Linked DNA regions of Arabidopsis thaliana. The protein of the gene in region 1 interacts with the protein of each later gene in a pairwise test. Each region holds a gene or a part of one and is shown on either strand. Other genes may lie near its edges. The genes, in order: POLH and PCNA2.

Region 1 (6,677 bases):
AATTGCAATTTTGGAGAGCAAGTTCGAGGGTATTTAGGGTATTTTACACACAGGAGGAACAATAATAAAAAGTAAACCCATTGGATGGCATGACAGTGGCCTGCAGTATTGTCCTAACCCCAAAAACGGTTTCAGGTTTTCGAATTTTGTGTTTTCTTTTTTACCGTTTTTACGCTCAAAATGAAGTAAAAATGTTTTGATAGCAAACAAACTTATGGTAGTTCAACCTTACCAAAAAAAAAAATCCTCCTTACCAAAAAAAAAACTTATGTTAGGTCAATTAATATTAGAGAATTCTATTCTAGAAAGTAGGATGAAAAATAAGTTAGTTAAGAAAAAAGTCATATTTAGGCGAAGTTGTAATTAACATTTCGATTGATTTGACTTTTGAAAATAAAATGTAATCGTTTGATATAGAATTGATCCAAAAAGAACTCATACTAGAGAAACTAGAGCAATTAGGTAGGATGTTTGAATATTTCATGAGATTCCGTGGTTGAGCAAAGATATACAAACTTCTGATAAACCTTCTATCACTTCTTCACATGTTTACCAAAAAAAAAAAAAAACCCTTCTATCACTGTGCATACCATAAAAAACAAGAGGTCTCGATGGATTTTAAAGACGATATATATATATTTAGTTTTTCTATTGCTCAAAAATGACATTTTTAATAGGATTTAAGCATAATATATCTGTAGTACTCAAGATACAAGACCAAATCTAAGGTAGACAAGGACTACACTATATACAGTCAACAACAGAGACAAAGGAGCTTAGATCTATCTATTCAATGGTGGAAAATAATGAGCAATGCTTGAAGTAGAACCATCACCTTTGCTTTTACCGGTGTTAAACTGCTTATTGGTGCGTAGGAAACTCCTGAGTTCTCGTTGAATCTCAACCGGTAATTCATCGAAAACTGACTGATCGATTTCATCAGTCTTATATCCCCAATCTGTTTCTCTACTCTCTTCTACCTCTTGATTCACTTGACTATTATGGCTGCTGCTACTTAACTTTGCTCTTTTACTGGCTGATGACACTGTGGAATCTTCTTGAGTCTCTTGTTTTGATGGAGGTGTTGCATTGTAATTCTTAAAGATATCGACAATTGAAGGCATTCCCTGAGAACAAACAAGCAAACAAATCTCAGTAAAGGTAGAAGCTTTTCGTGCACCAAACAAAGCAATATATTGCGTACCCGATTCTTTTCTTTCGAGTTGTTCATCTTCCGCCCAATTTTCTTTGTCTGTGTGCCTTTGTTTGATTCTGATTGGGTAGAAACATCCGTTGCTTCGTTTGATGGACAAGAGACAACATCCTGACAAGGAATGTGTGGAATTGGTTCTTCAAGGATACACAATTTAAGAACATATATATAAGCTCTTGAGTCATTCAAACACTACAGGGCCTAACCAATCACTTCGTTACCAGTTATAATTACTAAAGAAGCTCCTTTGAAAGTTGAAACTGAGAACGTAATTGAGCCTAAATATGTTTAGCCTTTTTGCTAGATCACACCTCTAAGAAAGGCCTAAAATATGCTTTAGAGTAAAGGGAAATGAGAGCTGATACCTTTTCGGAGACTAGATCAATGTCTTTATCTTGGTTTTCAAAATTAGGCAAAGTATAAGTTACACCGGTGTCTACTTCAGGCATTGCTGCTTGAGTTTCTGTTGACCTCTGTTCTGAACATCCTTCGCTAGCTGCACCAGTTGCAGATTAGATCACGACATTAAGTACCAGAATCAAGAGAAGTAGAAAGTTCTGAAAATATACAGAAATACTCTAGAATACCTGAAGCAGTCATCGCTACATTTCCTTGAACACAACCATCTGCTGAACGAGAAGGAACAGTAGGTTGACTTTGAAAATATCTCATGATCGAGCTTGTTCCCTACAGTAATAAGATATCACTCCTACCAAATCAGTGAAGAAACCAACCAATGTTTGAAAGAGATAAGTAAGTAGAAGACATTTAATGGCTCTAAGAACTTACAGATGGTATATCAACAATTTTACTCGCTGAAACAGAAAGACCTGTTATCCTCCATGTCTCTAGCTTATTTCCTTGAGGTTTGATCCCGAAGGATCCCATGTACTCACGTAAGGCAGCTTGGAACAAGTTAAAGGCATCTTCTTGGATCTTGGTTACTCCATATCTCATAGGACATGATTTTGAAGGAAATTTCTTATGAGAATCTGAATCCTTTGACTGCAATATTTTTCAGGAAAAATATGTTTTAAGTCGTAGTCTTCGCAGAGAAAAATGATATATAACAAGAGAAGTAGGTACTCTGAAAGCGCTAGCATGAAGGGTAAGGGTGCTTGCAATCCGCTTATTCTGCTCCAAGTCAGAACCGAGGCGCTCGCTTAGTTCCTCGGAAAGCTGATTCAGCCAATGCTGAACCTAGAAATATAAGAGAACACAACACTTATTCTAAAAACTAGTTCTATGATATGATTGAAGATAAAAAGGGGATACTTTTGCTACTATTTTTCCAAAACGTTTCACCTCTATAAGCACTTTCAGTTATGACCTATCAACTAGAGCAACTGATAGCAAAGGGAAAAGAAGTGCATTGTTGAGATTCTACTCTTACAGTTGAGAGTGACTTCAAAGCACGAGGTCCGGGAAATGTCTTTCCAGAACCATGACTTTTGGGGAGAAGGCGACCTTGCACTTCTTCTCCACTGATCCCTCTTGCTATATTCCATAACCAAGTACTACAAGTCGGGGGAAAAATCAGAAAAACGTATTAATAGACAAACAAGCACGAGTTGCATGTCTTTAAATTTCTATTATCAAGCAAATAAGCAACTATTGGGAATTTAGTATGCTAGAAGGTACTAATCAAATAATGAACAATCTACAATAGCCTACGAGTCCAGGACAACAAAAATTCTATCTTTTCCAAAGCTATTACCCAGTATTTACTCCGTAATGTTCTTGTAGCTTCGTTTCAGAAAATTGCAGCAAGTCCCCTACTGTGTCAACTCCCAAGTCAGTTTGCAAGCTAGTGCCCAGCTTTCCTCCCAGTTGTTTCCTGCACGTTATGTCTAATTAGAGCTCAATGATTACCAGCACTAACTGAAAATTTTATGATCCTGGGACAGCGATAAAAGATGCAATACACAACTTTGGACTGTCTTACATCTTATAAAACACAGCTGTGTTGATACTGACGCAAATATTTAAGTGTATTCCGTAGAATGTGACAAATACTAAAAGTTCTCCTACGAAAATATGTGTTGTGATCAATACACTATTGAAACTTACTTACATTTTCTTTATTGGCAAGGAACTTAGTAATTCCTGTACAGCTGCATATGGTACAACTGTCTGCTGCGCAGGTTTGTTCATTCCACTAGCAAGTTTGGCTAGCATCTGCTTGTTGAAGTTATATGTTATTACTCGCCATACAAGCGATAAAAGGAAAACAAAATAAAATAGCTTCTTGCCTTGTTATGGGCTATGCCAGCAGAACAAGTAAACTCAGTCTCCTTAAGCACCTGTTTCCGGAGTTCTGCAACAATGATAATTCCACAACTTAATAACTTATCACGTCGATCAGCATCTTCTCGACAAATCCAATTGCGGACACTCTCCTTGAAATCATCTCCATCCTGAAAGTAAAATAAATAAATTCAGATCATAATATTGACTATCGACTATACTTTTGTTGGAGACTAAAAGACACCAAAACAGACCTCTCTGTTCATTCCAAGAATATGGGATTTAAGAACTTCCTCATCTATCAATTCCAAACTCTCTGGAGGTGCATCAGCAAGCATGCTTTCTGCTGCATCAGTGAGGTCAAGATACACTTCATCAATCGAAGCCCTCTCACATTTTCCGCTTTTTGCTAGAATCGAAACCACCTGCAGCGACAACACATAGAATGAGATGAATTTAGCAAATGTCATTGTTTAGACAAACACAAACAGTATAATAATAACTTCCACTTCCATCAACCTCAGAACCGGCACTGCGATATAAATTAAGGTCAGCTTTACCACGAGCCACAGGAACTTGAACCAATTGAATCTGAGGACAAGCAGCTTTAGCCTCATCACCTCTCATCGACCTGAACATTAACCCAAAACACAATTTTTCCCTATCCTCAAAAGATTGATACAATTGGGGGAAAGAAGCATTTCTGTAATTACACACTAACCGCTTTACGCCACATTTACGTGCTTCGTAACTAACAGCAATCAAACCACCACCTTGCCATTCATTGTACTGTACAACTGCACTAGGCAGTCCTCGCAACTCCGGTTGCTTCCTCTGCTCCACTAATCACTCACTCATAAAAAAATCCCTTAACCAGGTAAGTAAAGGAGACATTTTGATAAAATAGAAACAAAAAAGCACACTTTTTGGTATTTGGTAATTTCCCAAATCCCTAAAACAAACGCCAACGAGAAAAAAAAAGAAAAGAAACCGTTATTAAAATTCGATTGAAACCCAAAATTCCAACAAAGCTAAAAAGTTCAAAAAAAGTGTTAAAAAGCTTTGCTTTCTCTCACTAAAGCGTCTAGTGGCTGAATACAATTCGGGTTAGAGAGAGAAGGACCTTGAACGTAGAAGCAATCCATGTCGACATGAGCGATAACTCTAGCATCCGATGCTTCCGGTCTCGCTACCGGCATTTCTATTTCAGAAATCTCCGCAGAAATCAGAGGGAGAGAGAGAGAGAGAGAGAGAGTTTTTACCACCGAAAGAGGGGTTTCTTGGGGATGATGACTGATGAATAGCGCGCGAAAATAATAATTAGGAGAAAAAGCGAGACAGATTAATAAAATGAGAAAGTTTCAAAACGAACCCTCAAAGAAACTAAACTTTGCAAAATAACCCGTTTAGAACACAAGTAATTTGACAACAAAACATGAAATTCATTGTAATGATCTCAAACCCTAAATATTTCTCCAAATTTGCCGTGTCAAATTATTTGTAAAAATAGGTTGAAGATTGACATTGTTGTTTTTAGAGATTTAGTGTGGTAACAAAATTATGGACATCAAGCTGCATCTTTCGAATTATGGTTGATCGTTCGGTAGATAAACAAAAAGTATAGATAAAATATTTAATATTTATTCATTACATAAAATTTTTATTGAGTTTATTTTTATTTATATAAAACAATCATAAAAATAATATGGGTCATGTTTTTTTCATCCATTACTATTTGTTCACTACTATTATTAATTTCACTATTATTGTGAAATGTCGATTTTTATTGCTCATTAAATTTGGCTAGATAATCTTCACTAACTAAAGATTTGGATTCAAGAAAAACAATTTTCTCTCAATTATGTTTATGATTACAAAAATAAAATAAAAAAATTAGGTATTAAATTATAACTGTAAAAATTAAAACTTATGGGGATTTTTGGAAGTATATACAAGTTTAAGTACTAATCTGAAAATGTTTGTGTTTTAGTATATAAACCACTCACAGGTTGTGACTTTACAAATTGGAAAATTTCGTTGAATGCTTCTTCTTCTCCGTCTCGTTGAGATTCCTCCCCAACAACAACAATGAAGCGTAGCTTGGGTTCAAATTCTTCAAACAATAGTGGCAGTGGAAGTAACAAGAAGTCTAAGAAGAATAATAATCCGAGCAATCAGAAAACCCTAGGCGCGGCATGGGGCGCTGCTTCTTCTCGTTCTTCTTTCCGGTCTTCTCCTTTCTCCGATTTCGGAAGGTCTTTCTATCATTCTCTGCCATTTTAGTGTTGGGTAGTGGTTAGATTTTGAAATTCCCATGTAAAAGTTGAAACTTTCCCTCTGAAAAGTGATGTTCTGAGAAAGATTGAATTTTGGAAATTTTATGAAGTTAGAATGAAGTAAGATGCGTTAAGCATTGTTATACTATCGTGGTTGTTGATTATTTTTTTTATGTTTTTGATGTTAGTTACATGGAAGTGAAAAATAGGAAACTTCAGAACCAATTTGAGACTGAGGCTTCTGCTGCTTCTCGTGGTGTTTCGGGTTCTGAGAAACTTATTTTCCAAGGGGTTTCAATCTTTGTGGATGGGTTCACTATTCCTTCTCATCAGGTTTAAGCTCTATTGCTTTGGTTTCTACCCATTTTCAATTTTGTTGGTTTCTAGTTCTTTCCTGATTTGAAATGGCTTAACTCTTATATCGTACAAACTGTTGCAGGTGAATAAACCTTAGAATTTGTTGTAGTGCAGTTTTGCTGGTGGGTTATATGTGATTTAACAGTGTCTAGATCTGTGTAGGAGTTGAAAGGATACATGATGAAGTATGGTGGAAGATTTGAGAACTACTTTTCTAGGCGTTCTGTTACACATATCATTTGCAGCAACCTTCCAGATAGTAAAGTCAAGAATCTTAGGTTAGTTGTTTCTTTAAAATTCTTCGCTAATTTCTTGCAAGTTCGTGTCTTATAATGGATTTTTGTTTCCAATCAGGACATTCAGCAGAGGATTACCTGTTGTGAAACCTACATGGATAGTGGACTCTATCTCTGCCAACAGACTTCTGGGCTGTAAGTCTATACAAGATGATTTAGTTTCAGTTAAATCATGTAGACATAAGTATAAATGTTTGGATTTGATCATTGTCTACTGTCAACTTCGTATGCATTCATTTATCTTGCACACAATCTATTTAATCATCTGATTCAATGCCATCGCATCAC
Region 2 (4,633 bases), on another chromosome or scaffold:
GGGTAATCATGATCAGCTTGTTGTGAATGGCCATGGTGGTAAGGAGGATACTGCTGGTAAGGTGGTTGCATATATCCTCCATATGATGGTGGCGGGTATGGCTGGTGCTGAGGATAGTGGCCATGTGGTGGCATAGTGTAAGAAGAAGAAGAAGCTCCTCTGTTGTCACTGGTGCTTGAACCGCTTTCTTTGGACGAACTAACTGCACCCATTCTCTGAGGGTCCATTGATGGGTAAAATGGTCTGTCTTGATGAGGAGGTTGTGGTGGTGGTGGGTGCATATAGTATTGTAGCATTGGTGGAGGTTGATTCTGTTGCTGAGATATAACTGCTCGAGGTAGTAAACCACTATGAGCCACACTGCCCTGTTGGTTAGAACCATCTTGATCAGGTTTGGGAACCTGAGGTCTTCCCCATGTGAGTTTTAGCCTCTGACCGTTGACAACTAGCCTGTTACTGAGCTCTTCTGCAGCTTTCTCTGCTCCTTCTCGGGTTGTGTAAGTGACAAACGCACATGCTTTCTCAGCCAAGATTCTGATGGATTCGATTTCTCCATGGGCGTAGAATTGATCACGAATGTCTTGCTCAAGGACTCTCGAGTTTAGCCCACCAACATAAAGCGTTCTGATGCTTTGATCCTCTGGAGATTCCAAAGTACCCATCTCCCCAGCCTTGCCAAGTAACTTCAACGCAACTGGATCGTTTACACTGCAGGAAGTGAAGAATAAGATGAGAAAACAGTTCCAATATCACCAAAATAACAGCCAGTTTACGCACACAAACTGATGTATTTTTCATAACTCTCTTTCATGATATACCAAAGCAAGAAATTGAGGAGTAACTCAATATTATCATACTCAAACAAAATGAAAGTTAGAAGTATGCTTACCCATAATAACGGTCTTTAATGTTCTGCTGGGATAACTCTCCTGTTTCAGGCATCTCATGACGGTATGGACACTCATCACCTCTTGTACACTCTCCCCTAATGAAGAAACTACAAATATGAGCTCGGTTCCTTTTGTAGTAAGGCGTTGTCCTTTGAAGCATACGAATGGTATCGTTGGGCCGAATCTTCCCAAAAGAAGACTCATAATCTAGTCCAGCTCTCGTCTACACAAGAAAACAAAACCATTTCAATAGGCCATTACAAAGTAGAGAAACTGTATAGCCAAATCTCAAACCAATCAATACTCAAATAATATAACTAGTTAGAACGCAGAGTCACCATACCTTTCGATCATGCTCTTCAGCGAAAAACTCTCGGTTCACATCACTTTTTGGGATAGAATCATGAGTACTAATGTTGAGCGCCGTGTCTCTGACCTGAACTGGAAGACCATACTCAAGATCCAAGAGACAAACTTGGCACACATTCTTCAACTTGCAACATGTCTGACAAACTTCAGTCTTCTTGTATCTCGCATCCCTACCAGGTCGCCATCTGAAAACCGTGAAAGGCCGGGTACAGATCTTACACTCTTTATCGTAATTCGCCTTTGTCTACATACCAAACAACAACAATAAATCAATCAATCAATCAAACATGAAGCTGCACATCACTACCAGACATAACATGAGACAGTATTCAATGAATTACATTCCCTCTAAGCAAATTTGATCAGAACAAACCAAAGATATCATTTTGAACTACAACTCCATGAATTCTGATTTTTACCAAAGGTTATGAATTGTATATTAAATCGCTTAAACCCTAAAATCTCAAATCACTAAAATTGCAGCTTCAACACTAAGAAACATAAAAGCATTAAACAAGCTCGAAAATGGACAAATGAAAGGAGATCTTAATAAAGACACATGAATGTTAAAAAAAAATCTAGCTAAAGGCAAGGAAATCGAATTTGTTTGAGGAGAAACATAGGAAGCGAAGAATATACCATTCTCACGTAAGGATTGTCACCGAGACAAGACTCACAGATGATTGGGAAATCAGAACGTTCCCATCCATCAGCCTCGTGATCTCTCAGTATTCTATGCGCCATTTCCTAATTCTCTTCCTTCCTCAATGATTTCTGGATTTCTTCTTCAGTCTCGAACACGAAGATTACCTTGAAGAGCAGATTTGCTCTCGTTTCGATTTTTTCGGGAATCTTTAATATTACAGCTGCTGTTGGGCCGAATGTTTGTTTGGCCCAATTTAAACCCATGAAATAAGAAAGCTTAAAGTGATGGTGGTGTACTGAAATAAACAATACGGACTCACACAGATGATAATTCATCGTCACACACAGGCGGGAACAAAAATACCCTAAAATCGCTAAATGGCGCCACAAAATCTCAGCTTATAATATCACTTCCCGCTAACAATTGCAATCTCCTCCCAGAAATTTCAACAGCTCTAAAAACCCTAACCGTTTCGATTCACACTCTAACCTTTCGATAATTTCCCAGAAGATGTTGGAGCTTCGTTTAGTTCAAGGTTCTCTACTGAAGAAGGTTCTAGAAGCGGTCAAAGATCTGGTGAACGATGCGAACTTCGACTGTTCGACCACAGGGTTCTCGCTTCAAGCTATGGATTCGAGCCATGTCGCGTTGGTGTCTCTTTTGCTTAGATCTGAAGGTTTCGAGCACTATAGATGCGATAGGAACCTCTCTATGGGAATGAATCTTGGTAATATGTCTAAGATGCTGAAATGTGCTGGAAATGATGATATCATCACCATCAAAGCTGATGATGGTAGCGACACTGTTACTTTCATGTTTGAGAGTCCCAGTAAGTTCTTCAAATCGATTTTTGTTTGTTAGGGCTTTGGTTTTGTTGTCAATGTTGATGCTATTGGTGACCTGATTCTGTGTTTATAGGTTTGATTTGCCAGAAGCTAGAATATGATTGTAGAGAATGATTCAGTCCATTTCTTGAAAGCTTTAGTTTGTAAGAGATGAAAGAGAAGATAAAATCTATGTTAATAGAGGGTTTTTGGTTTGGAATAAGGTTTGATATGGCTTTGTTTTTGTGTAGTTAATGATGTTATTAGTGATCTGAACTGTTATTTATAGGTTTCATTTGACAGAAACTAGAACTTGCTTGATGAGAATGAGTCCTTCCATTTTTGTTTTCAGAATAGGTATAGTCTCTAGCTTAAAGACTATAGTTTGAAAGTGAATAGAGTTTCTTGATTTAGTGAAAGTTAACAGAGGAACTTTGTTTGATATTGACTATGTGGTGTTAATCTCATTATTTAAATGGTGTTGATGATGCAGCACAAGACAAGATTGCAGATTTTGAGATGAAGCTGATGGATATCGACAGTGAGCATTTAGGAATTCCTGATGCTGAGTACCACTCGATTGTGAGAATGCCTTCTGGTGAATTTTCCAGGATATGCAAAGATCTCAGTAGCATTGGTGACACAGGTAAATGAACTGTTTGTTTATTTGGTGTATCACTGCGAGGATTCTCTAATCATGATTCTGGTTTTGATGTTATGATTTTGCAGTTGTGATCTCGGTAACAAAAGAAGGGGTGAAGTTTTCAACAGCAGGTGATATCGGGACAGCAAACATTGTGCTCAGGCAGAATACTACCGTCGACAAAGTATGAACAATCACTAGTCATCTAGAGAGATTTGTTTAATAATCTGTCCAATACAATGTTGAAGTGACCTTATGTTTGTATGTGTGTTTTGCAGCCTGAAGATGCTATTGTGATAGAGATGAACGAGCCTGTTTCGCTTTCATTTGCATTGAGGTACATGAACTCCTTCACAAAGGCTACTCCATTGTCGGAAACTGTGACCATCAGTTTGTCCTCTGAGTTACCGGTCGTGGTGGAGTACAAGGTGGCTGAGATGGGTTACATTCGATACTATCTGGCGCCTAAGATTGAAGAAGAAGAAGACACCAAACCAGAATAATGATGAATGTTTGATAGTCTTCGTTCGAGTCCTTTGTTGAAATGTCTGTCTTGATTCAGTTGTTTTCTGGATTTACTATCTTAAGGCAATGCTAAACTAGATAATCGTATGATGTTTGTCTTTCTGAAATTTGGAAAAGCTTGTTTATAACACTTTTCATCTGTTTGTTAAACATTGAAGAAAAAGAAGACACGAAGCCCTAAAACACGTTTGTTTGTGGCTTCTGCAACCTCACGAACTAGTGTTGATTGATGTTTTTGGATGCTTTTACAATTTGTAAAAAACATGTTTAACACTCTTTACTTCTGTTTGTTCTTAAATTTGGCAAAAACAACAAAAAATTTGAACTTTCAAGACACAAGAATTTGTCTGCGTGAGAAATAGACTCGAGAACAATGAAGTAAGACGAGAAGTGTAACAATTAATATCACATGTGCATTTTGTTTAGAGAGATAGCTTCCAATCTTCTCCAGCATACACTGCTTGATCCCCAAGCTCTTCCTCTATCCGTAGCAACTGCAGGAACATTTCAACAGTGATTCAGCTTTTTAATAAAGTAGTTTCTACAATGAAATGAGAACACTATCTAGCAACTAAATGTACATGGCTGCTCCAAACTCAATCATTATGGATCTATAAGCTGAGGCTGCATTAGCCAAAAGTTGAAGAAACTGAAACTTAGCCTAGGTTGCTAAAGATTCACATACCACAACATAACTCAGCTACTTAAAAGCTAAAAAGAAGCTGATGATAATCTG

The links.
Region 2: the proteins of POLH (region 1) and PCNA2 interact in a two-hybrid assay, tested with the Arabidopsis thaliana proteins (one study listed by BioGRID).

The regions. Positions count from the first base shown.
Region 1 is NC_003076.8:18,047,121-18,053,797, forward strand, and holds POLH (Y-family DNA polymerase H), read right to left. Parts: upstream 4,777-6,677; 5' UTR 4,660-4,776; coding exon 4,584-4,659; exon of another isoform or gene 4,303-4,583; coding exon 4,182-4,302; intron 4,092-4,181; coding exon 3,980-4,091; intron 3,886-3,979; coding exon 3,715-3,885; intron 3,631-3,714; coding exon 3,466-3,630; intron 3,392-3,465; coding exon 3,288-3,391; intron 3,051-3,287; coding exon 2,931-3,050; intron 2,731-2,930; coding exon 2,607-2,730; intron 2,414-2,606; coding exon 2,300-2,413; intron 2,219-2,299; coding exon 2,003-2,218; intron 1,901-2,002; coding exon 1,801-1,900; intron 1,710-1,800; coding exon 1,579-1,709; intron 1,325-1,578; coding exon 1,205-1,324; intron 1,128-1,204; coding exon 783-1,127; 3' UTR 613-782; downstream 1-612. Other genes in the region: REV1 (DNA-directed DNA polymerase), read left to right, coding at 5,549-5,715, 5,925-6,069, 6,256-6,371, 6,448-6,524. UniProt on the Arabidopsis thaliana protein: Error-free DNA polymerase specifically involved in DNA repair. Plays an important role in translesion synthesis (TLS), where the normal high fidelity DNA polymerases cannot proceed and DNA synthesis stalls.
Region 2 is NC_003071.7:12,649,381-12,654,013, reverse strand, and holds PCNA2 (proliferating cell nuclear antigen 2), read left to right. Parts: upstream 1-2,260; 5' UTR 2,261-2,415; coding exon 2,416-2,734; intron 2,735-3,222; coding exon 3,223-3,375; intron 3,376-3,458; coding exon 3,459-3,556; intron 3,557-3,650; coding exon 3,651-3,875; 3' UTR 3,876-4,108; downstream 4,109-4,633. Other genes in the region: MAC5B (CCCH-type zinc fingerfamily protein with RNA-binding domain-containing protein), read right to left, coding at 1-708, 890-1,113, 1,234-1,503, 1,899-2,003; ENOC (cytosolic enolase), read right to left, coding at 4,320-4,391. UniProt on the Arabidopsis thaliana protein: This protein is an auxiliary protein of DNA polymerase delta and is involved in the control of eukaryotic DNA replication by increasing the polymerase's processibility during elongation of the leading strand. May be involved in UV resistance.